Linked DNA regions of Elephas maximus indicus. The protein of the gene in region 1 interacts with the protein of each later gene in a pairwise test. Links are inferred from orthologs where the notes say so. Each region holds a gene or a part of one and is shown in the gene's direction. Other genes may lie near its edges. The genes, in order: NDN, SERTAD3, EEF1AKMT1 and MKRN2.

Region 1 (6,727 bases):
CATATACCTCAAGAAATGGCACCACCATTTCTCAGACTGCACTGCCCAAACTCAGTCATCTCCAGGACAGAATCTTGGTTGTCCCTGGTATTCATAGTTAGCCCCTCATTTTTCCTTATATCTTCTCTACCATCCCTACTGAAAGTCAGTTGCCTCTGTTCCCTTCTCTCTGACAGCATTGTGGTTCCTTCCTGATATGCATCACGATTAATGATTATTTAGTTACTCATTTGTTTTATTGTTTGTGGCTCTTTTCCACCACCACTTCCCATACTACAGATTGCAGTGACCATGTCTTTCTTATTATATCCCCAGTACCTAGCACAATGGTTGAAATTTAGTGTTTAATAGTTGCCATGTGAAGATGAACTGCAAGCTTTTCTCACATGGATTCCTGCGAAAATTTCCTAATTGGTCCCTTTGTCTCTACTTGCCCACCTGCCCCAAATTCCAGACTTAATCCTGTAACCAGGTGATCTTTCTAAAAGACAACCCTGACCCTTACTCTCTGAGTGCTGGCAGGCTGCACTGTGGATCTGGGCAGGACTAGAAGGTCTCCAGTGAACGGTTGAATCTCCTCCCCTGCACTCTCCCAAATGTGGAAAGCAGCACTGCCTATCCTCGCTTCTTATTATTCTCTGACAAAAAAAGGTCTAGCTGCCAAATAGTCCATGATGTCATTGGTTTCCCCCTTGGATTGAGCTACTTTTCTACAATGCAAATCTGTGAGGCACATAACAAATACTGCTCAATAATAATTGCTTAACAAATTAACATGAGTTCTGTTTCAAACCTGTGGCTTGTGAGATCTTTGGTACCCTAGTTGGGGGTCCAAGGTGGATGGTGCTGTCTATGTAGAAAGAAAAGAGCCAGAAGGATTTACTTTTCACTCAGGGCCTCTGGGCCTCTGCACCATGAGCATGCTCTGTCCACTGGAGGCTGTCAGAAGTGGCCCCCTTCCCCTGCTTACTATGGAAACCAATGCCAGGACAGGCCTCTCCTCCTTTCCTAAGCCTGTCTGCCAAGAACGGCCTATCCCACAGCTGTTTAATCTGTTCCACATTATAGTTTGGAATAACCAACCAGCAAACTGTCTACTCCAGAAAATTCTTCATATACTTTCCATATACTTGCTGCATCCCTGAAGCTTCTATTTACAGAATCTTGATTTAAAGAATATCCTTTTCTTAGTTTCTTTGGGGAGATACTATCGTAAGTATCAGGCTTCTGCTTCTAAGCTGCTGCTCCTGAGAAGACTAATTGCCCAGATCAAAAAGGGCAGTCTCGTGGATACCGAGCAAGTCTAATTTATCCCCAACACTCTTGGAACATCGCTGGAGGTCCAGCCCCAAATCTTGACCCTTGGGTTTAAGCATTTGTGCATACCTCATGAGCACTGGTTTCCTATTCTTTCCCATAATGTCAGCTGTCATTTTCCTTATAGTTTTGAATTCTTGCATCTTTAGTTTATGGGTTGGCACCTTATTAAGTAGCTACAAAATCCTTCCCATGGCACATGTGCACGTGTTTTCTCCCCTTAAGCGCTATCCTAAGCTTTACTTTGTTTCCCCATCTTATTGAATTTTCTTCTTATTGGGAAATCGAGCATCTTCATCAGATCTTTTCCTGGGAAGAAAATAACAGTACCAAGGTATAGTTGGGCTTCAAGGGAGAGTAGCACCAGAGATTTACTCTGTACCTGATTTCAAAATTGAGAATCAGTTTTGAGGCTTTAATCTCTCCTAAAATAATCCCTATGTGGTTCTAATCCACAGGGTCTGTAAGAAGTGAGGTGTGAAATGAGCTGTGGCAGAGGTGCGGGTGTACTCTCCAGCATAGCGTCGGTGACCTCACCAGAATGAGGTCCAAGCAGGAACTCAATTATCCAGTCCTGCTCCAGGCAGCTACTCAAGCCTAAGGAGCTTTCTAGTTGAAGATCTGCTATCCCACTTCAGTAATAACTGATTTTTGTAACAGCTGTGCCCAAGCTTGCAATTTGATTTCATCAATTTGCTAAATCTAGGAGGGTAAACTGTGAGGATGTAGTTTTAATAAATTTGCATCAGCAGAAATTATGGCCCATGGTGAGAAATGAGCTGAGATTTAAATAATAGGCTCAAACGTCCTAATTTTTAAGACATTAAATGAACTTAATATTTAATTCAAATAATTAGAAAAATATAAAAATCCAAACTAAAGAAAGAAGAGGAAAATTAATGGAGGTTAAAGTATTATATTTAAGAAGCATAAGAGCAAAAAATCTATACAAGCACCATTCTAAAAAACAAAGAAATAAAGGTATATCATACTTCTGTAAGATATATTCAAGAAAATGTTAGAAATTTATAAATTAAAGAAGAAGCTAAGTGCAAAAAAAACAACTAAAACAGATCTGTATGATATGTAGGAATTATACTCGTGATGTGGGTGGCTAAGAAGTCCTGTTGGAGGAACCCATGGAAGAGTGCTTCTTCTAAAGGTGACACGTGTGAAAGAAAACCCAACGATAAGAATGAGACAGCACAATACACAGTAATGTGCCTCATAACATCCGTTCAGGCAATGTCCAACCACATATCTGACCCTAGCCCCATAAAGTTATAATAGAGCTCAGAAATCTTGATAGGAGAGCCAGACATGGCAGATTTAGGCATATCACACTGGACAATCACCACGATCCTCAAAAACAGAGAAAAACAAACTGTTAAAGGATGGGATCCACTGAAAACTACAATGCTAATGAAAATTGGAGAGGGACTTATATCAGACATAAAGAAATTGGTAATGATGTGGACTGAGGACCAAATACAAAAGCAATCCCTCTCACCACATTGACCATCACTGCTAAGGCACAATGCTTGTTCAAGATGCGTAAAGAAAAACCAAGATCAGACTGTGATATCAAGTCTATTGCTTGCTCTGGGTGGTTCAAGCACTTCAAACAACATTTTTTGCTGTTTAATGTGAAAGTAAATGGTGAGTCTGTGAGTGCTGATTCAAAGGCAGCAGAAGAATTTGTTGGAATCTTTGATAAAGTATTTGTAGAGGGAGGTTATTTTCCCCATGAAATTTTTAATATGGACAAAACCCACTTATTCTGGAAGCAAATGCCTGAAAGGACCTTCATCCATAATATGGTGTACACACAATGTCCCAATCACATAACATCCTATTTCATAGGACATATTGGGGATCTTAAGCGATGCATGACTGTAAATAAATAAATCTACTTGAGAAATAATAAAGTGAGAAATGAGGAAGGAGATATAACCAAGTTAAGAGAGGACTGTAGATATGTCAAGACATATTTTAAACAAGCTTTGGGTTTCAGGTGACAATAGCCAGACCTGAGATAGCATATTTAAGAGGAGCCGCTGATTTGAGGAAACTCAGCAAGGGCTGAAGGACAAAACTCAGCTCAGACCGAAGATACTGATCAATCTCAAGAGCCCTAGTCCCAGGGGCTTCAACGCAGGCCCCTTTTTTCACGGATACGCCCTTGGAGTGTCAGCTTCATCTTTGCCCACTGCCGATGGGTTTTCAGCACTTGGGAAACAAGACCATAAATATGTTCATCTTCTACCTTTGAACATGTGAGAGAGACTGACACATATCTATGCACCCCACATCTAAAAACAATATGAGGAAGGCCTTGGGTGAAGCTCCCAAAGGTGGGACCATTCAGGTGCTGCCAGAGGGTGGGAGTGGGATCATCTGAGAAGGTAGGAGCATCCACATGAACACAGAGTGGAGGTAGAAGTAATCAGGGGTGGGAGTGTTTTGGGCAAACAAGGAAAAATACATTAGCATACAAGCTTGTGCTAATAAATATGACAATCTTTGTATTATAGGAACTTATGGAAAAGTCGAAATGAAATAAATGTAACTCAAAGGAAATGGAAAACCAAAATCAATGACCATTAAAACACTAAGGGTTAGTAGCTTATTATCTCCAAAAACGTTCAGTTTTCACATGGCCTGATAGAGAATGACTTTAATTACATTCTGTGTTTCTCCTTATAATGCCTCTGGTTTGCTAGGGACAACATCAATTTTTATTGGTGTTTCTCAGGATTCCAATCTCAGACACCCTCCTCACAGTTTATACAGTTTCTTGGGCAATCCCGAATGCTCCCTTGGTTTAAATTATATTTATGATAGCCAAGTTTACACAACAGCATAGACTTTTCTCTAGGACTTTTGTATCTAACTTGATTCTGGTGGAATTCTGGTTGAACATTTATTCCCGTTGAACATTTCCTGAGAAACTTGACCTCAAGTCTCTCAAAAGCTTAAGTTATCTTTCCCCATACACCTGCCTCTTCTCCAGCGGCCACCCGCCTTGGCCCCTACCCCCACCTCTCTAGCCCAAACAGGAAATCTGAACTCATTCTTGCCATCTTGCTAGTGGAGGTCTCTAGCCTCTTCCCTGGCACCACTGCAAGACCGCCCCTTCGGGCTCGGCCCCGCCCCGCCCCTTTGGCTCTTGGCCCGGCCGAGGGCCCCCGCCCCGCAGCCTGCAGACGCGCAGGCGCGCTCTCCCGCTCCGCCCCGGCTCTCCGCTGCGGAAGGCGCCGCGCAGTAGCGCGCACTTCCTCTCCAGGAGTCCGCAGAGGGAGCGCAGATCCTAAGAGCTCCGGGACGCAGAGGCCCTGCCCTTGTCAGACAGAGCAGACATGTCGGAACAAAGTAAGGATCTGGGCTACTCCAGGTTTGCAGCCGAGGCTTCCCATGCCGAGGTGTGCATTAGCCCTGGGGTCCCCATGGAGGGTCCGCCGCCAGCCTCTCAGGCCGCCACCCTCGGAGAGCCGCAGAGCCTCCCTTTTAGCCCGATGGACGCCCCCCAGGCTTCGCCTTCGCCCCAGGCCCTAAGCGACGAGGGGGACATGAGGGCTCTGTTGCTGGAGGAGGAAGAAGACTGCGCCTGCCAGGCCCAGAGCGCGGCCCAGGCCCAGCCAGGCCTGGCGCCACCGACCCCTGCTCAGCTGGTGCAGAAGGCTCACGAGCTCATGTGGTACGTGCTTGTCAAGGACCAGAGGAAGATGGTCATCTGGTTCCCAGACATAGTGAAGGATGTCATCGGAAGCTACAAGAAATGGTGCAGAAGCATTCTCAAACGCACCAGCATCATCCTCGCCCGAGTGTTCGGGCTGCACCTGAGGCTGACCAACCTGCACACGATGGAGTTCTCGCTGGTGAAGGCGCTGGAGCCGGAGGAGCTGGACAGGATGGCGTTGAGCAACCACATGCCCATGACAGGTCTCCTGCTGATGATTCTTAGCCTCATCTACGTGAAGGGCCGCGGTGCCAGAGAGAGCGCGGTCTGGAACGTGCTGCGCATCCTGGGGCTGCGGCCCTGGAGGAAGCACTCCACCTTTGCGGATGTGAGGAAGGTCATCACGGAGGAGTTTGTTCAGCAGAATTACCTGAAGTACCAACGCGTTCCATACGTTGAGCCACCCGAGTATGAGTTCTTCTGGGGCCCCAGAGCTTGCCGTGAAATTACCAAGATGCAGATCATGGAGTTCCTGTCTAGGGTCTTTAAGAAAGACCCCCAGGCCTGGCCTTCCCGGTACAGAGAAGCTCTCCAGGAGGCCAGAGCCCTGCGGGAGGCTGAGACCATTGCCCACGCCTTCCGCAGCAGTATTTCCGAGGACTAGCAAGGTCGGGAGGCAGATTGATTGATCTGACCCTCACCAGTGCTGTGGAGGGGTGGGGGGCGTTAGAGTATTCAGGATTTACAGTGCAGTGTTTCACGTGTAACTTTCAGTTTTCAGTACAGTGCTTTTATACCATTTAATGCAATGTTGTATTCATTGGGGTATATTTGCTAGCGTTTAGGATTTATGCATGTTTGCTTATAAGTAAGCTTGCTTCATGCTTTCTCTCTTGTGCTACCTTTCTTGGGTTTTTGTACCAGAGACGTGCTAAACTTGTGAAATACATTGAGAAATTTTCCATCTTATTCTTTTATATGGAAGAGATGATGTATATTGGGATTAAGACTGCTCATGGAGAGTTTTGAAGAACTCTCCAGTAAAGCTGGCCAGACCAAGAGAAATGTCAAGGCCCCTCTCTGTCCTTGCTGGGCACAGGAAATACATCTGTGGGGAGTGGGAGTTCAGTGATTTGAACTGAAGTGGTCTCAATGTGGGTAGTTGGCACACTTTACTGAAAACAAGTACAGTCCCACCATCAGTAAACATTAAAGATCTTGTGATACAATCATTTTTGGAAAAGTGTCCTTTATATATGTTTTAAACAAAGTAGTATTGTTGGTAATGAGACAGCATTGTCAGTTTTACAAAATGTACAGACACAACTTGCTCAGCTAATAGGGTATAAAATCACTACTCATCATTGTCATGAGTCTGTGAAGCTTAGTTTTATTTTTTATGTAACTCACATGTTCGTTTCAGAAACTGACAAATACAGAAAAGTATAAAACAAGCAAAATTGCTCATAATCGCATTGCTCTATTAAATCACAGTTAATAGAGCAATTTCCTTAATTTCATTTTCTACATTTATTAAAATTAATAGCTTTAAAAAACTACGCTATGTTTTTGAGCATTTGAAGAGTGAAGCATTGTACTAAACACTTCCATGTATTTAATCCTCATAACAGCCCTGTGAGGCAGGCACTCATTACATCTGTACCAAGGAGGAAATTCTGGAACAAAAAATCATTAACTTTCTCCAAATCATAAGCTTATTAAGAGGAGGGG
Region 2 (7,475 bases), on another chromosome or scaffold:
ACTTCTTCCAAGACAGATTTGTTCATTCTTCTGGCAGTCCATGGTATATCCAATATCCGCCAACACCATAATTCAAAGGCATCAATTTTCTTCATTCATTGTGCAGCTTTCACATGCATATGAGGCAATTGAAAATACCAGGGTCAGGCAGACCTTAGTCCTCCAAATGACATCTTTGTTTTTTAGCACTTTAAAGAGGTCATTTGCAGCAGATTTGTCCAGTGCAATACATTTTTTGATATCTTGACTGCTGCTTGCATGGGTGTTGGTTGTGGATTCAGGTAAAATTAAACATATGTATGTATTTTTTTTTTCTGCACAGTGTAAGTTGTGGACATCAACCCACTGTACTCAACAGGCAAGAAGAAAGATATTGATGTTAATTCTGTCATATCATTTAGCATCAGTGGCTAAAGCTCTCAGCTGCTAACCGAGAGATCAGCGGTTTGAACCCACCAGCCACTCTGTAGGAGAAAGATGTGCCAGTCTGCTTACAGCCTTGGAAACCCTATGGGGCAGTTCTGCTCTGTCCTCTAGGGTCACTGTGTGTTGGAATTGACTCAACAGCAATGGACTGGGCCATATTCAGATTCCCCCCAATTTTCAAAGTATCTTTTCAACCTCCTCTCCCCCCAAATGAGAACGCAATCAAAGATCACGTATGATGTTTAGTTGCCCCATCACCTTAAATCTAGAACAGCCCCCCCGCCCCACCTTTTGTTTTTAATGCCTCTCACGACATTGGCCAGGCCAGGCGTCCTTTCAGATGCCCCTCGTTCTGGATTTTTCTTGTTTTCTCACAGTTAGACTCAGATTGAACATTTTCGGCAGGACTAATACATGGGTGAGGTTGTGTGTCTTACTGCACGTTATTCCAGGTTGTCTGTCAATGGGTGATGCTGAATTTGATCCCTACATGAAGTTGGTCACTGTCAGATCTTCTGGATGTAAAGGGACACTTTTCCAGTAATTTTTAATTATCATAACGTAGTCACTAAATGCCCTTTCAACAATAAGCCAAGCCTGTTCCACTATCCCCAGAGTTTAAGAAAGACCTAGTGATACTCCCAGGCTCCAGAAATATCAACACCTTGTCCCCAAGGTCAGAAAAATGTGTCTGCTTCCACTGCCTATAACATGCAGATCCATGCCTGGGACATATCACTCAGGGCTCTTAGAAAGGTCCAGAGGGCAGAAAGCATCATCATGCTTAGAGCAGATCTGGGTTCAAATCTAGCCTTTGCCACTTATCACCTTTGCCGTTCCAAGACTCAATTTGCCTGTCCGTAAAATGGGGTTGATAATAGTTTCTAGCCTGTTCTTTGCTTTATTTCTCTTCACCCACCGTTTTGTCTATCTTTTTTAGCTTATTAGTTGCCTTTCCCTAGTGAATGTCTGCTTCCTGAGAGCAAGGTTGCTTGTCTCTGTTGTCCTTTCCTGTGTGCCCAGCACCTGCACATAGTGGGTAATCAATAAGGGTTTGTCGAATGAGCGAAGTAAAGAACTTATACAAGCACCCTGCACATGGGAAGGGTTTCACATATTGTAGGATGTTATAGCAATTGGGCACGCGGTGGAGCCCAGGTAGCACAGTGGTTAAGAGCATTGGTGCTAACCAAAAGGTTAGCGGTTCAAATCCACCACCTGCTCCTTGGAAACCCTGTGGGGCAGTTCTACTCTGTCCTATAAGGTCATTATGAGTTGGAATCAACTCGACAGCAAAGGGTTTGGTTTGGTTTCGGGGATGGGGGGGTATGCAGTAGGTACCCTGGGAAGGTCATGAGGGTAATCATGTATTGGGGAAAGGACAATTTGCTTCACCTGGCCCCTCTGTCTTTGCCTCACAGGGGACCAGCCGCTGACAGGGGCCTACTCAGTGACCCTGGATGGACGAGGGCCCTCTAGGGTCATTTCCAAACATGACCTGGGCCACTTCATGCTGCACTGTCTCACCACCAACAAGTACGACGGGCACAGCACCTACCCCTCCCACCAGTACGACTAGGGCTCTGGCCCTGCCCAGGAGGATGGCATTCTGGGGAATGGGGAACAAAGGAAGGACAGCCCAGGAGTCAGGGAATAATAAATCTTGAGCCAAGGGCTTCAAATTATTCTAGAGGACCGGACTCTGTGTTAAATTTTCTGGGTGTTGATTCATTCGCTCAGCAAGTTTATTGAGTCCCTGTTCTGTGTCTGAATTCCTGGATGGCTCAAACGTAAAGTGCTCAGCTACTAACTGAAAAGTTGGTGGTTCAAGTCTACCCAGGGGCACCTCGGAAGAAAGGCCTAGCAATCTACATGAAAAATCAGCCATTGAAAAGTCTGTGAAGCACAGTTCTATTCTGACACATATGGAATGGCTGTGAGTTGGAATTGATACTGCAGCAACTGATTTGGTTTTTTTTTTTTTTTTTTTTTTGGTTTTGTCTGGTGGTGACCGAGGTAGCTGTGAGCCCCTTCATGGCCCTCACAGTCCAGTGGAGGAGACAACCCTGCTGATCCAGAGTGACCAGGGCGCTAATGGGGGAAGTACAGTGGGCTGGGAGAGCACAGAGGGGTTCCCTGACCTAGCTTGAGGAGCTTTTTGCTTTCTGGAAGAGGGGATGTCTGAGCTGAAGCCTAAAGGTTTGGTAATAACTAGCTCAGGGAAGGTTTTAGGTCATTCCAGGCAGAAGGAACAATAGGAGCAAAGACCAGGTCAGAAAACACGGGGTTCCTTTGAAGGACTAAAATCTGTGCCCTACAGTAAATACAAGAAGCCCTTGCTGGAGGTGCAGTGATTAAGCCCTCGGCTGCTAACAGAAAGGTCCGCAGTTCGAACCCACCAGCCGCCATGCAGAAAGATGTGGCAGCCCGCTTCCGTAAAGATTTACAGCCTTGGAAACCCTATGGCACAGGGCAGTTCTACTCTGTCCTATTGGTTGGCTGTGAATCGGATCGACTGGACGGCAACGGGTTTACAGTTAACACTCCGCGCTGAGGTGGGGAGTGATCAGCTCCATGGAGGCTTAATTGTGCAGACCTTGTAAAAAACTGAGCTTTAATCAGAGGTTTTAGGCATGGAGCGGGGTGAGGCAGAGGAGGGAGATAGGGTGGGCCGGGGGGGAAGGGGGAGGCAGTCACGGTTAGTGTTTTAGAAAGCTTCCTCTGGTTAGTACTGCGTGGAGGTGGATTAGAAGGGGCAAGACTGGAGGCTGGGAGCCCAGGGGGAGGATGGGGCTGGAGCTAGGTAGGGGCTGAGGGGAGGGGAGGAGAGGACGGCTGGGAGGAACCTGAGTGGACAGGCTGTGGGGGAGGGGAAGGAGGCATCTAGGAAGAAGCCCACAGCTGCAACCTGAAGACGGGCTTACAGTGGGGGCACCCTGGAGGAAGGATAGGTTTGGGAGGAGGAAGGGAAAAAGTTGTCCCCTTCCCATGTTCCTCCCTGGAATCTATTGTCCCCTGACTTTGTTCCCGGGGGACACTTCCTAGACCTGGCTGAGTCACCCCTCTCTCCCTACCTCCGACCTCCTGCCCTCCCCCACGCCCCCTGAAAATCCATTCCAGTCCTATACTGCTTATGCAAACAGCAGGTTGGCTGGGATGACAAATTCCAACCGGTGAAAACTGGTCTGAGGAGCCTTAAACCTGCCCTCCCAGGAGTGGACTGGAGAAAACTATCCCCTCCCCCTCCCCCGTGCAGGGAAGCCCTGCCGTGAGGGTGAGGCCTCGCTGGGTCAGTCTTTCCGAGCTCCAGCAGTTTTATCTCTGCCCGCTGTCTATTCTTTCTGTCACAGTGCCTGAGCATTTCACAAACTTTTTCACTGTGTTCAGCCCTGTGCTGGGTGATGCTAGGGACCAGGCCTTGACTGGGATAACCCTGGTTCTTATCCTCAGGGGACGCACAGACTGTGACAGCTCCGAGGAGTCAGCGTTGGGACTGGGGAGGCCTGGGCAGAGGGGTCCGGACCAGGCCGGGGGGAGGCGCCGGCAGATGGTCGGGCTGGGTCGGGGGAGACACGGGCAGAGGGGTCCGGGGGGGTGGGGGAGGCACGGGCAGCGCGGTGCGGGGAGGGGGGGACGAGGGAGGCCAGGAAGCCGTGGGACAGGCCCAACCCAATCTGGGGTGTCAAGGAGGGCTTCCGAGAGGAGGGAACCTTTGAGATGAGTAAAGACAGTCTGGGAATTGAGGGTACATTTTTAGAACGAGGAGAAGCCCTGGTGGCACGGTGGTTAAGCACTCCGCTGCTAACCGAAAGTTCTGGCAGTGCGAACCCCACCAGCTGCACCGCTGGAGAAAGATGTGGCGATTTGCTCCTGTAAAGATTTACAGCCTAAGAAGCCCTATGGGGGCAGTTCTACTCTGCCCTATAGAGTCGCTGTGAGTCGGAATCCACTCGACGACGGCGGCACAGGGGTCTCAGAATGAGGAAACCAGTTGAAAGACCCAGAGGTCTTTCATCCTGGTTTTTGAGGACTTGCTGTGTAACTGGCATTGTTGTAGGCGCCGGGGATAAGACAGGGAAGAAAACAGACAAAATTCTTGTCTTCGCGGTGGGGGAGGGCGTTTAAGGCCACTTTAGAAAAACGGGACATGAATCACTGTGGCAGGATCGTAGCGTGCGAAGAGTGTACCTCGGGACAGACCGCAAAGGGATTGTGGCAAAGGTAGAGTTTGGACTTTACCCCAGGGCAGTAGGGAGCCATAAACGAGTGTTCAGCAGCGAAGGCACCATTCTGAGAGTAAGGATGGGGGAGCAGGGGGATGCAGGAGGGAGATCAGAGGGCGTTGCGAGAAGTCCCAAAGATTGAGGGGGCCATCCGGTAAAGTGGGGGCGGCTAGAGAGTAAGGGCAACGAGGGGGCGGGGCTTCCGTCGCCCAGGCAACACAGGCCGCGCCAGCTTATTGGCTACCCTTCCGCCGCGTCATCTTCCTTGCTTCCCGTAGTCAGCCCTCGGAACCCCGGAGGCGAGGCCTCAGCGATTTTCTCGGCCCCGCCCTACTGGGAAGCGGGGTCGGGGTGTGCCAGCGGGTCTTCCTCCACCCCAGGGTCCAGGCGTGGCATAAGGGGATTTCAGAGAGCAGTGCTGACAACCTCGGAGCTAGGAAAGCAAAAGTCATAGAAAGTGGTTTTAATGCCCCTGCCGTCTTCCACCGTGGAGGCGTAGCCCCGCCCCTGGCAAGTCGGAATCCTTTAAAAGGCGCGGAGCACTGGGGCAGGGGAGGGCGGGCCGGGCGTCTCCTGGCTACGGGCCTGTGGCTCCGCCCAGCCAATCGGTGCCCCGCGGCGCGCAGGGCTCCAGCCAATCGCGGCCCGCGGCTCGGCTCCGGGGCGGAGCTGGGAGGGCCTGAGGCCAGACTGCGAGGCCCCGGGACGGTGAGCGAGGCCCCAGCCCAGCACCGGTGGGTCCAAGCGCGGCAGAGGTTCTGCGAGCTTGTCGCTGAGCCGCCAGGCAGTTGAGGTGAGGGACTGGCTGCCCGGCTTGGGATCTGCCTTGGTTCCGGGGAGGTGGCAGCGCATCCCGGGAATTGTGGTGGCGGGGAGTGGGAAGCACAGGCTAAGGGTGGCTGATGAGGTTTGGGAGGTGTGGGAATAGCGGACTGAGTTCGAGATCGGGGATGGGAGGCGAAGTTGTTCGGGCGGGATCTTCAAATGGAGGGAGTTTGAATCTGGGACACAGGGTGTTTGGAGCAGCGAGAAAACCAAGGGAAGGAACTTTGTGGCCAAGGCATCTGGAGATTAGGCCAGTTTGGATCTCCCGGACGGGTTGAATTCGGGGTCCCCATGTTCTGAAAAAGGTGCGAGGAGTTTGGGGCTGGGGATTTAGAGCTGGGATCGCGGGCATTTGGAGAAGAGAGAGTCTTAGTCTCCCAGACGCAGTGGCCGGGAGAGTGCTGCGGGAGAGTTCCATGTTCGGGTCTCGGAGCCGGAGGGGGAGTTTGGAGGTGAAGTCCAGGGGCGCCTGAAAACCGGGGCAAAAGTTGAGGGGAGAGTCTCCAGATCGGAATACCTAGTCTCCCGAAGGATCGGACAGCATTTGTAGTCTTCGAGATACGTGTTGGGTCCTGGATCTCTCAGTCCCAGGGCAATTTTGGGAAACAATCCGGACCTTCTGGGATCGGAGAGACCGGGAGAAAGCAGTCTGGAGAGCTGGAGGCAGGGGTGGGGGAGGGGTATTCTGGGCGTGGAGCTCAGACCCGCCGCCCGGGAGGCAGTGGAGGGCGGGGCAGCTGGACGTCCGGGTTCCCTTCCCCCACCCACCCGGCGCCCTGTGCGCATGCCCTGAGGGAGGGTGGGGGGAGTTTCCTTCTTGTGGCCCGCCGAGCCCTCTGGGGATTGTAGTGTACGCTCAGCGTTGGTTCTTCTGTTGGCCGCTGTAGACCCACATTTCCCAGAAGCCCATGGTCCAGACAGGGGCGTGTCTGGAGGCTTTATAGCGATCCAGTGAGGGGGCGGGGCCTGTGGAGACCCAAGTTCTGGTTGGGTGTATCTTAAGGGGGCGGGGCTTGGCGTAGTTTAGTTCTAGCAAGTTTTCCAATGGGGTGCACTTTGAGGGAAGCAGAAGGTGAAGCATAGGGGATGAGGGAGGCCTCTTTTCTGTTTTTGGGAGCGCTCCCAGTCAGTTAAGGAAGAGGACACGGACAGAAATATCGTTCCTGTGCAAAAAGCGTCTTGGGGCTCCAGGTTGCTCAAGTATAGTAGACACTCTTAAACTATTGAATGAATAAATGGCAATTACTATTGAATGAATAAATGGCAATTAACTCTGATCATTAAGCCCCCCCTGTGTGGTAGGCCCTGTGCATATTACACTTGTGATCTCCTTGACAATGTGGTGAGAAGTATTCTTTACAACCCCCATTTTACAGATGAGGAAACTGAGTCCCAAAAGGGTGATGTCATGTCACTTCCATCACACAGCCGAGCAGTGTCAAAGACAGAATTCAAACCCAGGATTCTCTACTTCCTGTCCAGGTCTCTGTACTCCACACCTGTCTTGTGTGTGACATGTTTGAAGAAATAAATATCATGGAAAGACCAGTTTTAAGACTCAAAGAGACTTGAGTTAGGATCCTCATTTTGCAGATGGAAACAAGTCTCAGGGAGGTAAATTCACTATTCGAGGCCACACAGGCAAGTAAGTAGGATTCAATCCCAGCTATATTTAAGTCCAGATCTTGTTTTCTTAACCATTTACTTTTCTCCCTATCCCTGTGGGATTCATTTTATAGATGAGGAAACTTATCTGAGGTTCAGATAATTAAAATCATCAATAACCATACAGGCAAGAAAGTGGGATTTGAACTAGCCCTGCTGTGTCTGACTTGCCCCTCTCCTTTCCACAGGGCATCATGGTGGGAGGCTTGAAGAGGAAACACTCGGATTTAGAGGAGGAAGAGGAGGAGAAGTGGGGCTGGGGCCCAGCAGGCCCAAGGAGCTATCAGCAAGCCCTGCTCCGCATCTCCCTAGACAAGGTCCAGCACAGCCTGGGCC
Region 3 (7,368 bases), on another chromosome or scaffold:
TTTTTAACTTACACGAAGACTTTTCAGTTTTTTAAAGAGACCCAGGGATGAGTATATTGTTAAAATATTTACCTCTACTGAACATAACTATGAAGGTATAAAGTTGCATTTGATTTTTCAAAAGATGCTGCAATATGATTTTAAGAAGTAAATCAAGGCTATGTATTGAACTAGTAACAAGCTGAATATCAAATTTATAAAATTTTATTTGTATTTTTAAAATCCATAAATGGGAGTTAAAATATGTCTTTTCACTAAATATTTTTATTACATTTTTGTTTTGACCATGTGTGATTTGTTCATGGGTATTTAGCTAGATTCTTTTATGAAACTTGTTGAAATGGTGCTAGTTTGTTTACCATCATAGGATGATTGACACAGGCGACCTTACACAGTCATAAAAAAACAGGAAATATTGTATAGCTAAACTTGCATTACCTTGTAGGGGAAGCCCCAACCCTAATAGAATACCCAGTTCTCAGAAAGAAAATAAAAATTTTGTTTATATTCTGTAACATTTAGTATGTTTATTTTTACCTCAGCCAACAGTCTTAGAAACAGTTTGCATTATTAGCTAAATCATTGGATTTGGGGCACGTTTGTAGTAAACATTTTTAGTAGTTTGAGTCATTCTTTGTGGCCTTTCAGGGGAAGTGGAGAATCACCATTCTGTTACATGCTAGACAGACTTTCCACCCTTCGCCCAATCTGAAATCTTACGAACATACAGTCATGTTTTTAAGGAAGAAAATAGTTTGAAAATATATTTGTTTTAAAATTGATTTTGCTTTGAATGTTCATTGATTTATAGTGGTATTTCTTAGGTTATATTCAGACTTGATTACACTTAAAAGGATGGAGAAAGAAAAATTAGGTTATTTACAAAGACTAGAGTGTGTTTCTAGTCTGTTTCCTCTCTTTCATTACTAAGGGTGGGACCTTAGGCACAGGCCAACCATCTGTCATTTCAGAGAGCCATAAATGATTTTAAAGGTCCTAAATACAAAAATCCATTACTGGTTTTTAAAGACATCTTTAAGATAATGGTACACTCCAGAAATACCATAGGTTTATATTGAGTGGCTTATGAATGATGGGAGCCCTGGTGGTGCAGTGGTTAAGAGCTCAGGCTGCCAGCCAATAGGTCAGCAGTTCAAATCCACCAGCCGTTCCTTGGAAATCCAAGGGGCAGTTCTACTCTTCTATAGGGTCCCTATGAGCCAGAATCGACCCAATGGCAATGGGTTAGTTTTTATGAATGATGATTTTGGTGTGTTGATTAATTATGGGTTTGTTATGTTTCGAAGCATAGGATCCCAGCCTGTGTATTCTATGTATAATCTCAAACGGCAGTTCAGTCTTGACTTTCTTTTAAAACTAAGTAGAAGCAAAGACCATATTTGATGAAATCATTGAGAAAAATCTTTGCTTGGAAATTCCATACAGCACTTAATGGCACATACTGCCTCAGTCCTAGCACATAAATCATCCTATTATGCACTTTCCATGTAAATTATTTTTACCATCCAGCATAAGAGTGAACTGAGGTAAGTCATTGATGTTTTCCAGAGTTGATGAAGAAAATGAAACAAAGAGTTTAAATATTTCTATTCCCATATTAGCAGTTTTTGATACTTTGGTTAGTCTTACAAATATTCTTTTCAGTCAGCCCAAAATCTTAGGTGGTAATCGTCATTTGCATACCTCCTAAATGTGCTGCCCCAGATGGTTCTCTCTGAGGACTGGTCTGGTAAAGCTATTGGAAAAGGTGGAGTACAGGACAGGTAGAGCGACCTAGATTCAATTCCTAGCTTGGCCACTTAGGATCTACATGAATTTCCAGGCATCTGTCATCTGTATCACGGAATCATAAATGCTGTTATTCTCCAAGGAGAGGTTTACAAACATAGTGATGTATAAAATATATGTTCAATAAATTCCATTATATTTAAAGATTTTTTTCCTAAGAACACATTTTCATTAGGTAAATGTTTCCTAACATGAAGTCTAAGGCCTGATAATCATTAATTTTTAATTCTGTGGTATATTCACATTGATAGAATATGATCCTTACAGATCTGGTCACAGCCACCATAGTAGTACTGTGACAAAGTTCACCATACTATTTACTGTATCTTTTTTTTTTTTTTTAAAGAGAAAATCAACCCAAACCCACTGCCATTGAGAGAAAATAGGTTTATGTGAATCCACAGTTGCGATTTCTGCTGAATGTATTCCTATTCCTATAGCAAAAAATTTCCTGTGATTCCCAAAGTTTCACACATCATTAGTTCTTCATAACTTAGTCTGTTATCAAGTTTGTGAGAAATAAAATGGATTTCTTTACTATGAATGTAAAGGCTTTAATACACTAATACTCATTGTGAAGCTCTGAAAGATCTTAACCAGATTTTCCTCAAAGCATCTAATGGGCCTGAATTCTAGGGAACATGCTTCAGATAATTGAGTAATTTGATGATAAAGCACTCAAATAATGGAAGAAAAATACCCGTGTTCATTGTAGTTACAGGTAATGTGTTCATTGCAGTTACAGATAATTAGTAGTTGGTTTGGTTTTTTTTTTAAATAGGAAAACAGTCTGGCTTCATCTTTATCTTAAAAGATCTTCCCAGAGTGACTTCGGTTTCTCTTTTTGCACACTTTCTACAAGGAATTTGACTTTTAGATATGAACAAAAGCCCTTTCTGAATATGCAAAAGGAGTAATTCCTGAATTGAAGTTAATCTGAAAGCATCTTTCAAGTCCAGTTTAACTTGATAAGTAATTTCCCCTTTGTTCCAATGAGAATTACTTTGCCTTTGGTATTTAAAGTTTTGATATGCAAAAACCATTACAATACAAATGTTTAACTAGGAAAATATTAATCTTCATGTATTACTGACATGCTGTCTGAGGAATCAGCATTATTGATAGAGGTATAAATATTGAAACTTCCTGACGTCTGTGGTCACTTAATTATAAAAATATTGTATGGTAAGTGATACACATTACATGAAGGTAACTACTGTGTCTTACATGGTTTTAAAGCAGTTGAAGTTTTGAAAGCTTAAATCGGTTTCAAACCAAAAATAGTTTGCTTTCACATAAACTTCTCTGTTAAATTACAAGCCAAGGCAATCTCCTGTGTATGGAACACTATGGAAACACTACCTCTGAAAAATACACTCCATAAAAGTTGGTTAGTGTTTCTTGGTTCATGTTAATTGATTTTTTTTTCTAAGTTTGATATATTTTCTTTCCTGAATTACACCTGGTTTTGAAATACTTGGTTTAATGGACTTGTCATCAGTTTGAAATAAAGTCAAATGAAGCATGCTTTGCTCTAGACCTGAAAACAATACTTAAATAGAAATTATGGTACACCCGAAGGTCTGAATTCAGTGTTTCATAAACTACTGAGTCACACCAGTTGGTAGCTGGCCAATTCATTTATAGCCTCACCTTATACCGGAAAGAATTTAAAGTTGATCAGCAGAATATATAAAACTTAAAAAAAAAAAATGAAATTGATAAAGGAACACAATATACATTGTTTTGGGGAATAGAAAGTAAATACATCACTTACGATTTGGCAACTGCCAAGGTGGAAAAGACCACTTAATAACTGCCGGTAATGTGCTAGGTACTACGCTAGATGTGTTATACGTTTTACTCATTGTATTCTAACTTGTGAAGACTGTGAAAGAAGTCAGCTGACCAAAAAGCATCTTATATTTCCGTTCATTTTCATAGAGAATGTTGCTGCCTCACAATCGGTAGCTGGTTTTATTTCCGTGTGAAGAAGACAGCTGTCTATAACATCTGTTTCACACACCAATCCGATCTTGCACTCTTTTACACCTCTTGGCGTTCTTTGCAGCAAACCCCATAATGAAAGATGAGTGCGGATAGATTTAGATTAACCACAGTAAACAGGTAGGTAACGATGCTGAGGAAATCTGATTAAGGTGCACGGTTTTTTCTTTCAGGTTTTAAATTTCTAATCCTATCAGTGTTATAAAGCCTCCATTTAATATCTTAACTTCACGTGAACACAAGACATACGAAGTCTTTGTAACTGAAAACCTATATTTACTCTTGGTTTCTTAAAATGCTTAACTTGCAGTGAATCTAGTTAAAATATTACACTTTTTTTCACTGCCATCATCCTTGGAAGTGAGATGGAAAAATGTGCGGGAACTCCCAGCAAGTCAGTCTGTGAGAAGCAGATAAACGCCTGGGTCGGAACGCCTACGGGAAACCGCCCTTCTCCAGCCTTCCAGACAAACATGGGCCAGGGCGTCTGCGCGCGCGCGCGGGTTTAACTTGCCCCGCCCACGTCCTCTGCCCTTTCGGGAAACTGCGCAGGCGCGGCGGTGAGTGTACACTCGGCGGTGGTTGTCGGGCTATCACTTGCTGAGGGGATTTGGGGTCGGTTATGGGTCTTTGTTCCTTCTTTCCCTCATCCTTTTCCCAGCGGAATTAGGTAGTGGTGGCGGGGCAGTGGCAGACTCGCTGAGCCGAGCGGGGCGACCCGGTTCCTTGTTTGGCGCCGGGAAGTTGGGTGCTGAGGGGAGCAGTAACCTACCAGACCGGGTGGCACGTGGAGAGCGCCGGACCAGGCCTCGCCACTTCTTTATGTTCTATGAACAAGGCTTAGCAGTATGCAGGCAGGCGTCTCTGTTTAATAGTGGACGACGGTCATCCACTCAGCAACTGTCAGTTGAGGGCTGATAAAGCAGGTACTGTGCTAAACCAAAAAACTCAAACCCGTTGTGGTCTAGTCGATTCCAACTCATAGCGACGCTACAGAACAGAACAGAAATGCCCCCATAGGGTTTCCAAGGAGCGGCTGGTGGATTTGAACTGCCGACCTGACCTTTCAGTTAGCAGCCATAGCTCTTAACCACTGCGCCACCAGGCCTCTGCGAGATATTTTAGCGCATGAAATTGAGAAATCTAAAAAAAGCAGGATTTACTTCAACGTGAGTGCAATTGAGTGTATTGCTTTATTTGTCACAAACTGGACAGATAACATTTTCAGTCCAGAAAAAAAGTAGCTATGGCACTGGGTTTTCTGGGTTTACTTATCCCCCTTATTACAAGGTTTTTAAAATCACTAACATAAAGAGTTACCTGAAGTCTCTGAAGTTTTTCTAGGAGCTAGGGACCCCTGGCACTGTGCTGGGGCTGGGGAATGAAGTTGGATACAGGAAGCCTCGGCTCTTCCAGCAGACAGACAAGGGAGTGAGGAATTCGGCTGTGCCAACTAGCCCCTCTGGTACAGTGTGAGTGCTGTGATTGCAGAAGTACAGCAAAGGTGGGGGACGTGTATCAGACCAGAAGTGTGTCTTGATAGATAGGGGTTGTGTGTTCGTTCATGGGGGTATCAAAACTCATCGCCTTGTGCATTTAAGATCTGCATTTCACTATAGGTAAATTTTTCTGCAATTTTTTAAAAGTTAATTAAAAAAAACAATTGTGTAAAGCAAAATTCTACCGCAGTTTTTTAAAAAGTTAAAAAAAACAAAAAAGAATGAGAAAGCAAGAGGGAGGGAACGTTTTAGGCAGGGAACTACATATGCAAAGAAGAAAATTAAAGATTATGAGCCAACTTTCCTGACAATAAATCAGATTAAGAGTAGAATCATAGTGCAATATATGAAAAGTATTTAGAAAACATCCAGGCCAGTCTCCATTCATAGAGAAACCTCGCAGACTAGCCCAAGTTTTCTCAGCCATTTAGTCAGGTATCTGGGTTGAATCCTAGGTTATTGTTCTTTCCACTGGATCGTACTACCTCAATCTAAATTTCTTGCAGAAGGCAGTGTGGTACTATGTAAAATTACACAGTAGGAGATCTTGCTTTAAGAAAATTTGGTATGTGGAAGTTGAGGAATGGCACGTGATTATATATTTGAAATGTGATTGGATTTCCATATTACTCCTTAGGATTACATTAGTTATGTGAAGCACTATTTAAAGAAATGGAAGCTAATCATGGCCCATTGCTATTGTGTGCCCTCCAGTCCATTCTGACTCATAGTGACCCCGTAGGGTAGAGTAGAACTGCCCCATATGGCTTCCTAGACTGTAACCTTTACTGTAATCTTTAAGTAGTACAACCAAAATGTCCCTTAGAAGCAAGGATGAGGAGACTTCATCTTACGTATTTTGGGCATGTTATCAGGAGGGTCCAGTCCTTGGAGAAAGATATCATGCTTGGTAAAGTAGAGGGTCAGTGAAAAAGAGGAAGACCTTCAACGAGATGAATTGAAACAGTTGCTGCAACAGTGGGCACAAACATAGCAATAATTGTGAGGATGGTGCAGGACCAGGTCACCATGAGTCGGAACTGACTCGACAGCACCTAACAACAATCTTTACTGGAGCAGATCACTAGGTCTTTTCTCCCTCAGAGCAACTGGTGGGTTGCAACCTCCAACCTTTGGATTAGCAGCCAAGCACTTAACCACTTTGCCACCAGGGCTCCTTTCCACAGCTCCTCAGGAGCCTGCTAATCTTTGCTGATGCCACACATTGATGTGTCCATCGCTTTGTTCATGCTGTTCCTTCTTTTTCTAATCCTCACTCTTTATTCCTGTCCCTCAAAGCCAAGCAAGCTCAAATACTATGAGTCAGAATCGACTCGACAGCAACAACGGGTTTGGGTTTTTTTTTTTTTTTTTTGCACTTCTATCCTCTTCCCATCCATGCCCTTCAGTTTGGTCCGTGGCACTGAATGGCACTCTGTTAGAGGGCTCACCATGTTATCACTATTATTTGTCTATGAGCAGGGTTTCTCAACCTCTGTACTATTGTATTTTGAGCTAGATAATTTCTTTATTACTAAGGGCTATCTTGTGAATTGTAGGATACTTAGCAGCATCCTTGGCCTCTACTCTCTAGATGCCCGTAGCACCCTCCCTAGTTATAACAACCAAAATGTCTCCCAGCATGGTCAGATGTTTCCCTGGTGGTTAAAATCACCCCTGATTGAGAAGCACTGACATGGAGTATGAGCTATGTGATGCTCAAGGTCAGTTTAATAATAATACAGTACAGCACTGCCCAATTTTTTTAGAGTTGAAAATCTCTTTCACAGTGTTATTACAAACCAGCTTAGAAATTATTTTAAAATGCAAGAGATATTTTGATGTGTAAGTTTTTTAAAAAAGTTTTTAAACTAAGGTGAAACTGCTTGATGGATAAAGTGTTTTACTTTGGAATGATGGAAATGTTTTAGAAGCAAATAGAGTTGGTGGTGATTACACATTGTAAATGTACTAAATGTGACTGACTTGTTCACTTTGATTTTATGTTTTGTGCATTTCACCTCAGTATTATTTTTTAAAAACAACTAAAGTT
Region 4 (8,021 bases), on another chromosome or scaffold:
ATGCAACTTCTGATCTGATTTCTGTCTCTATAGTTTTGCCTTTTCTAGAAATTTCATACAATACGTAATCTTTTGTGTATGGCTTAATTTATTTAGCATGATTTTTTTTTTTTGAAATACACCCATGTTGTTGCACGTATCAGTTGTTCCTTTCTTTTTTATTGGTGACAAGTATTCCATTGGAGTCCCTGGGTGGTGAAAATGTTCAGTAAGCTCAGCTGCCAACCAGAAGGTTGGAAGTTCAAGTCCACCTAAAGGTGCCTCAGAAGAAAGCCTGGCAATCTACTTCCAAAAAATCAACATCGAAAACCCTATGGAGCACAGTTCTATTCTGACACACATGGGTCACCATGGGTCAGAGTCAACTTGATGTCAGTTAGTGGTGGTAGTATTCCATTATATGAATATACCACATTTTGTTCATCTCTTCACCAGTTGACAAACATTTAGATTGTTTGCAGTTTTAGATTATTCTGAATAATGCTGCTGTGAACATTCATGTACAAGTGTTTGTGTGGATACACATTTTCATTGCTCGTGGGTAGATACCTAATGGTGTGATTGTCAAGTTACATGGTAAGTGTATGGTTAACTTTTTAAGAAACTGCCAAACTTTTCCAAAGGGGCTGTGCCATTTTACAGTCCCACCAATAATGTATGAGTGTTCTAGTTTTCTCCATATGCTCACCAACACTTGGAATTGTCAATGTTTATGATTTAGCCATTCTAGTGGGTGTGAATAGCAGTGGAACATTGTCTGATAGCAGTGGAACATTGTCTGATATAGTGCTGGAAGATGAGCCCCCAGGTTGGAAGGCACTCAAAAGATGACTGGGGAAGAGCTGCCTCCTCAAAGTAGAGTCAACCTTGATGACGTGGATGGAGTAAAGCTTTCGGGACCTTCATTTGCTGATGTGGCACGACACAAAATGAAAAGAAGCAGCTGCAAACAGCCATTAATAATCTGAACCTGGAATGTACGAAGTATGAATCTAGGAAAATTGGAAATCGTCAAAAATGAAATGGAATGCATAAACATCGATAATCCTAGGCATTAGTTAGCTGAAATGGACTGGTATTGGCCATTTTGAGTTGGACAATCATATAGTCTACTATGCTGGGAATGACAACTCGAAGAGGAATGGTGTTGCATTCATTGTCAAAAAGAACATTCCAAGATCTATCCTGAAGTACAATGCTGTCAGTGATAGGATAACATCCATACACCTACAAGGAAGACCAGTTAATATGACTATTATTCAAATTTACCTACCAACCGCTAGGGCCAAAGATGAAGAAATAGAAGATTTTTATCAGCTGCTGCAGTCTGAAATTGATCGAACATGCAATCAAGATGCATTTATAATTACTGCGATTGGAATGGGAAAGTTGGAAACAAAGAAGAAGGATCAGTAGTTGGAAAACATGGCCTTGGTGATAGAAACAATGCCAGAGATCAAATGATAGAATTTCGCAAGACCAGCGACTTCTTCATTGCAAATACCTTCTTTCACCAACATAAACGGTGACTGTACACATGGACCTCGCCAGATGAAACACACAGAAATCAAATTGACTACATCTGTGGAAAGAGACGATGGAAAAGCTCAATATCATCAGTCAGAACAAAGCCAGGGGCCGACTGTGGAACAGACCATCAATTGCTCATATGCAAGTTCAAGCTGAAACTGAAGAAAATCAGAGCAAGTCCACGAGAGCCAAAATATGAACTTGAGTATATCCCACCTGAATTTAGAGACCATCTCAAGAATAGATTTGATGCATTGAACACTAGTGACCGAAGACCAGATGAGTTGTGGAATGACATCAAGGACATCATCCATGAAGAAAGCAAGAAGTCACTGAAAAGACAGGAAAGCAAGAAAAGACCAAGATGGATGTCAGAGGAGACTCTGAAACTTGCTCTTGAGCGTCGAGCAGCTAAAGCAAAAGGCAGAACTGATGAAGTAAAAGAACTGAACAGAAGATTTCAAAGGGCGGTTCGAGAAAACAAAGTAAAGTATTATAATGACATGTGCAAAGAGCTGGAGATGGAAAACCAAAAGGGAAGAACACGCTTGGCGTTTCTCAAGCTGAAAGAACTGAAGAAAAAATTCAAGCCTCGAGTTGCAATAGTGAAGGATTCCATGGGAAAAATATTAAACGACTCAGGAAGCATCAAAAGAAGCTGGAAGGAATACACAGAGTCAATATACCAAAAAGAATTAGTCGATATTCAACTATTTCGAGAGGTGGCATATAATCAGGAACCTATGGTACTGAAGGAAGAAATCCAAGCTGCTCTGAAGGCATTGGCAAAAAACAAGGCTCCAGGAATTGACGGAATATCAATTGAGATGTTTCAACAAGCAGATGCAGCACTGGAGGTACTCACTTGTCTATGCCAAGAAATATGGAAGACAGGTTCCTGGCCAACTGACTGGAGGAGATCCATATTTAAGCCTATTCCCAAGAACGGTGATCCAACCGAATGTGGAAATTATAGAACAATATCATTAATATCACACGCAAGAAAATTTTGCTGAAGATCATTCAAAAACGGCTGTAGCAGTATATCGACAGGGAACTGCCAGAAATTCAGGCTGGTTTTAGAAGAGGACATGGAACCAAGGATATCATTGCTGATGTCAGATGGATCCTGGCTGGAAGCAGAGAATACCAAAAGGATGTTTACCTGTGTTTTATGGACTATGCAAAGGCATTCGACTGTGTGGATCATAACAAACTATGGATAACACTGCGAAGAATGGGAATTCCAGAACGCTTAATTGTGCTCATGAGGAACCTGTACATAAACCAAGAGGCAGTTGTTCAGACAGAACAAGGGGATACTGATTGGTTTAAGGTCAGGAACGGTGTGCGTCAGGGTTGTATTCTTTCACTATACCTATTTAATCTGTATACTGAGCAAATAATCCGAGAAGCTGGACTATATGAAGAAGAACAGGGCATCAGGATTGGAGGAAGACTCGTTAACAACCTGCGTTATGCAGATGACACAACCTTGCTTGCTGAAAGTGAAGAGGATTTGAAGCACTTACTAATGAAGATCAAAGACCACAGCCTTCAGTATGGATTAAACCTCAACATAAAGAAAACAAAAATCCTCACAACTGGACCAATAAGCAACATCATGATAAACGGAGAAAAGATTGAAGTTGTCCAGGATTTCATTTTGCTTGGATCCACAATCAACAGCCATGGAAGCAGCAGTCAAGAAATCAAAAGACGCATTGCATTGGGTAAATCTGCTGCAAAGGACCTCTTCAAAGTGTTGAAGAGCAAAGATGTCACCCTGAAGACTAAGGTGCGCCTGACCCAAGCCATGGTATTTTCAATCGCATCATATGCATGTGAAAGCTGGGCAATGAATAAGGAAGACCAAAGAAGAGTTGATACCTTTGAATTGTGGTGTTGGTGAAGAATATTGAATATACCATGGACTGCCAAAAGAATGAACAAATCTGTCTTGGAAGAAGTGCGGCCAGAATGCTCCTTAGAGGCAAGGATGGCGAGACTGCGTCTTACATACTTTGGACATGTTGTCAGGAGGCATCAGTCCCTGGAGAAGGACATCATGCTTGGCAGAGTACAGGGTCGGCAGAAAAGAGGAAGACCCTCAACTAGGTGGATTGACACAGTGGCTGCAACAATAAGCTCAAGCATAACAACGATTGTAAGGATGGCGCAGGACCAGGCAGTGTTTCGTTCTGTTGTGCATAGGGTCGCTATGAGTCGGAACCAACTCGATGGCACCTAACAACAACAACAAGAAGTGGGTGTGTAGTGGTATCTTGTTGTGACTTTAGTTTGTATTTCCCTAATTATTAATGAGGTTCTTGGATGGTACAAACAGTTTGTGCTCAACTACTAAAGACTGATGACTTGAACCCAGCAGCAGCACTGCAGAATAAAGGCTTAGGGATCAGCTTTCGTAGAAATTTCAGCCAAGAAAACGTGACGGAGCAGCTCTATTCTGTAACGCATGGGGTTGCTCTAAGTCAAAATTAACTCAACAGCAATGGGTTTGATTTTGTGGTTTTAATTGTTAATGATGCTGATGATATGAGCTTCTTATGCTGTGCTTATTTGCCATTCATATATTTTCTTTGGTAAAGTGTCTTCCCATCTCTTAATTAGATCTTTATTTTTGTACTGAGTTTTAAGGATTCTTTATTCTAGATACAAGACCTTTGTCAGGTAAATGATTTGCAAACATTTTCTCCTGTGGCTTTTCTTTTCTTAGCAGTGTCTTTTGAAGAGCAAAAGTTTTTAATTTTGATGAAGTGCAATTTGTCATATTTTTCTTACATCATTCAGATGTCATAGCTAAGAAATCTGCCTAATCTAAGGTCATAAAAATTTTCTATATTTTATTCCAAAAGTTTTGTAATTTTTGTGCTTACATTTCAGTAAGAGCTAATTTTGAGTAAATTTTTGTGCAGGTTATAGTAAATCAGAGTAAGTTTGAAGACTGTCTTTTTGGATTTCCACCGTAGGAAGTGAAGATGAACATCACAGGAATGTCAGGAAAGGAAAAGAGGACTAAAAAGTAGGGTGGGAATAGAAATTTTGAAAAAAGGGTAAAGAAGAGTCAGAGGGGACTAAAAATTCCTTAAGGGGGAAAGGGGCCTAGGGAGTGCAAGCCTGGATGAGTAGGGGTATTTGGGATGAAAGTGTGCGGGGAGGAGGCGGGAGCTCGGCCAGGGGAAGGTGTGAGGAGACCCTAGAGACAGCAGACGTCGCTAGGGATTGCCACTGGAGACCCGGCCAAATCCTAAGAACTATGAGGACCCGGAACTAGTCGGGGAGAACTAGGACGCCAGCCAAGACCCGCCCCGGAGGCTTAGAAATGCGGCACACAGACGGCAAGGCTAGGGGGACCGGACCATGCCCACCCTCTGCGGCGGAACCAATTATGACGGCGGTCAGGTTTCTGGCCGGCGCTACAAAAGTGCCACACGCGGAGGGCGGTGCGCGCCGACGTGACGCGGCCGCGCGGGATGGGCAGGGCCAAGGCCGAGGCGGTGGCGGCGAGGGCGACAGCGAGAGGCAGTGGCGCGACGACTGCCCCCCAGCCCGACCACCATGAGCACCAAGCAGGTCACTTGCAGGTCCGTGCGCGGCGCCGCGGCACAGGCCGCCCGTGGCCCGAAGGGTGGCCAGCGCCCCCCGGCGGGCGCCGCGGAATCCGGGGGCGCCCCTTCCCGGCCCCGAGCAGCCGCAGCGCCCTAGCCCTGCGGCCGGAGCAGCGAGCCCAGGGCCGAGTAGAGTCGTGGGCCTTCCGAGCGGGTTAGCGCGCTGTCGGAGCCCGAGCCCGGGCCGCGGCGGGTGCGGGCCCGTGTCCCCCGGCCGAGCTCGGAGCCGCGGGCGCGGCGGGGCAGGCTGCGCAGCGGGCTTGGGCGCCTGCGGCTGGGAGGAGGCCGGCTGGGCCGGAGCGGGCCGGGGGTGGGACGCGGTCTCCTGGCGCCTGCAGTGTCGCTGGGAAGGGAGATTTGAAACTGAGTGAAGGGCTCTGGTGGTTTCCTAACGAGGGCACCACGCCGCGGTGGGTGGTTACGCGATTGAAGATCCTCGAAGAATCTGGGGGACCCAGAGCCCCTTCGCTTCCCGTCAGCCAGCCTTTGACTTTCTAGCTGAAAAGCTGAAGATTTAGTTGGAAGGACACGGATGTAACCTGAACTGGCATAGAATTAGTAAAAATTGTGCAGAAAATAACACAGGGAGCGTTTACCGAAAACCTGTTAAGCATCCCGCATGTTACCAAGCCTTTTATATACGTTGTCACTAGAGCTCACAGCGAGGCACATTTGCTTCCATTTTACGGTGCGTGAAACTGAGGCTGAAAGAGATTGACTGATGCCCTCATCTTACTGAGAGACCCATTTACTGGAGAAATGCTCGCGACAGCAATGGATGATTTAGTGTAGAAAATTCAAAACCAGATGGCTAAGGTCTGATTGCTGCTGTGAAATGGAAACAGCTTGGTTGCGTAACACTCTTACTCCTTCGTTAGCTTGTAGCTTAACGGTATTGGAACCCCAGTCCTGTTGAATTGTATGCTTGGAAGATACAAATTTATTTTAATAATTGATATTAGCAATACCTGTTTGGGAAACATTGCTAAAAAAAAAAAAAAAAGCTGTATAGTTTGGTTATGTAATAAACAGTTCATTTACATATAATCGATAGTGTTACTTCTCTTCATTAGTATGAATAATTGATAAGTGACTGTTTAAAGCTTTCTGTTAGCATTAGTGTGTATAAACTGTTCATCCAGTTTATCCAAGGCCCAGGTGGCTTTTGTTAAGCAGTTGTTAGACATTTGATGAATTTAGTGTCCATAGAAAAGACTTTTGCTAGGTTATTTGTACTAGAAGGTCTTTTTTTGATCTCTGCATATATATTATTTGCGTATATTTTTTCTCCTGTTGGAGGGAATGCTCCTATGTCTTTGCGTACTAAAAAGCAAATACTAGCTTGCTACGTAGGAAGTTTTATCTATTCCTCCATCTACTTTTATGGTTTAATTCTACCATTCTTGAACCCAGTCTACAGCTCGTAAAATGTCTGCAAAAGAGGGCACCTTTATGTAATGCTTTATAAGTGAATCACAACTCCTTATAGTATCTAATTTTAAAGATAAGGAAAGCTTACACCCAGAAGTACTTGAAACTTGCCCCAAATTTTACACTGAAGTGCAGAATTAAGAATTTAAATCAGGATCATCTTGTTTTATTCCTTCTACACCCCAAGATGGCCTGACCTGAGAACTTTAATCCTGTATTTCCCAAACAGGGGCATCCTATAGAATATTGTTACATGTAAACTAAGAGTAGGTTGGAATGTTGGGAAAAGATCTCCATTTAGGGGGCTGATGTATGTTCTGGGTGCTTTTTAGGTGCTCTACCAGCCATGTCTCACGTAATCCAGAACCAACACCATTCCACAGATCGCACAAAAATCCACTCAGTGGCAGAGGTGTGACATTAGAGTCCATGCTCTCATAAACTATATGGCCTCCAAATAAGTTTGGGAAATGCTAAGTTAAAGCTTCTGACTGTAGGATTTTTCTAAGGTTTTAATATGGTCATGTGAAGGGAAAACGCAAACATTTAGAAAGGAAAAGGTGTTTACTTGCAAAGGAGTATGAGGGAAGTCAGACCTCAGAAGCACTTCCTTGCCAAATAAACATAACAAGTATTTTAAAAAAAAATCTGCAAAATTACCAAGAGTACCAAGTTTTGTTTTGTTTTAATAATATTGTGTTTTGGGTGAAAGTTTACACAGCAGATTAGGATCCCATTTAACAAAAATTGGTCCAGTGACATTGGTTACATTCTTCACAACGTGTCAGCATTCTCATTTCCATTCTGTTCCGTTTCCATTAATCTAGCTCTCATGCCCCTGCTTCTAATCTTTGCATTAGGGTAAATGTTGACGGTTTGTTCTCATACAGTGGATTATGTAAGGGAGTACAGTACTCACGGGTAATATTGTTTATTTTATAAGCCAGTCTATTATTTGAATGAAAGGAAGTGGGGTACCTTTAATCTGTGTTACTCTATCTGAGCAGACTTCCAGTTGCCTCTTCTACTTCCAGACCCGTATACTCTGTGTTTTAAAACTCTTTAATCAGGCAAGCAAATGCACAGAAATGGGAATAGACACAGGGGTCTTCATCCCAATGCCAGTGCCCTGTTCATTATTGGACTGTCCCAGTATATTTATTACATTCAGCTCTGCAAGGTGAACTTTACTGCCTGCTTCATCACAAACTAGCTTTTTTTTTTTAAACCTCTTAAGTGAGATTTTTCAGTCATAAAGCTAGCTTTAGTGTGATGGTATTTGATTGGCCAACAGCCAAGTAGACCGAGTGCAGTCTATTCTAATGAGGATGAATGGGATGATGTTAAGCAGATGACAAGTTAGCTTAGGAAGTCTCTTTTGTTATAATTGCAGTAATTTTTCAACCAGTGCTTGGATTAGCCTTGTCAGTC

Evidence for each region.
Region 2: the proteins of NDN (region 1) and SERTAD3 interact in a two-hybrid assay, tested with the Homo sapiens proteins (2 studies listed by BioGRID and IntAct). The link is inferred for Elephas maximus indicus from reciprocal best matches to the Homo sapiens genes NDN and SERTAD3.
Region 3: the proteins of NDN (region 1) and EEF1AKMT1 interact in a two-hybrid assay, tested with the Homo sapiens proteins (2 studies listed by BioGRID and IntAct). The link is inferred for Elephas maximus indicus from reciprocal best matches to the Homo sapiens genes NDN and EEF1AKMT1.
Region 4: the proteins of NDN (region 1) and MKRN2 interact in a two-hybrid assay, tested with the Homo sapiens proteins (2 studies listed by BioGRID and IntAct). The link is inferred for Elephas maximus indicus from reciprocal best matches to the Homo sapiens genes NDN and MKRN2.

The regions. Positions count from the first base shown.
Region 1 is NC_064831.1:99,136,139-99,142,865, reverse strand, and holds NDN (necdin), read left to right. Parts: upstream 1-4,556; 5' UTR 4,557-4,676; coding exon 4,677-5,660; 3' UTR 5,661-6,222; downstream 6,223-6,727. UniProt on the Homo sapiens protein: Growth suppressor that facilitates the entry of the cell into cell cycle arrest.
Region 2 is NC_064829.1:111,219,698-111,227,172, forward strand, and holds the start of SERTAD3 (SERTA domain-containing protein 3), read left to right. Parts: upstream 1-4,458; 5' UTR 4,459-4,647; intron 4,648-5,219; exon of another isoform or gene 5,220-5,442; intron 5,443-6,850; 5' UTR 6,851-7,119; intron 7,120-7,327; 5' UTR 7,328-7,333; coding exon 7,334-7,475. Other genes in the region: BLVRB (flavin reductase (NADPH)), read left to right, coding at 1,848-2,005.
Region 3 is NC_064841.1:51,169,252-51,176,619, reverse strand, and holds the start of EEF1AKMT1 (EEF1A lysine methyltransferase 1), read left to right. Parts: upstream 1-4,359; 5' UTR 4,360-4,376; intron 4,377-7,368. UniProt on the Homo sapiens protein: Protein N-lysine methyltransferase that selectively catalyzes the trimethylation of EEF1A at 'Lys-79'.
Region 4 is NC_064838.1:37,722,756-37,730,776, forward strand, and holds the start of MKRN2 (E3 ubiquitin-protein ligase makorin-2), read left to right. Parts: upstream 1-5,004; 5' UTR 5,005-5,109; coding exon 5,110-5,135; intron 5,136-8,021. UniProt on the Homo sapiens protein: E3 ubiquitin ligase catalyzing the covalent attachment of ubiquitin moieties onto substrate proteins.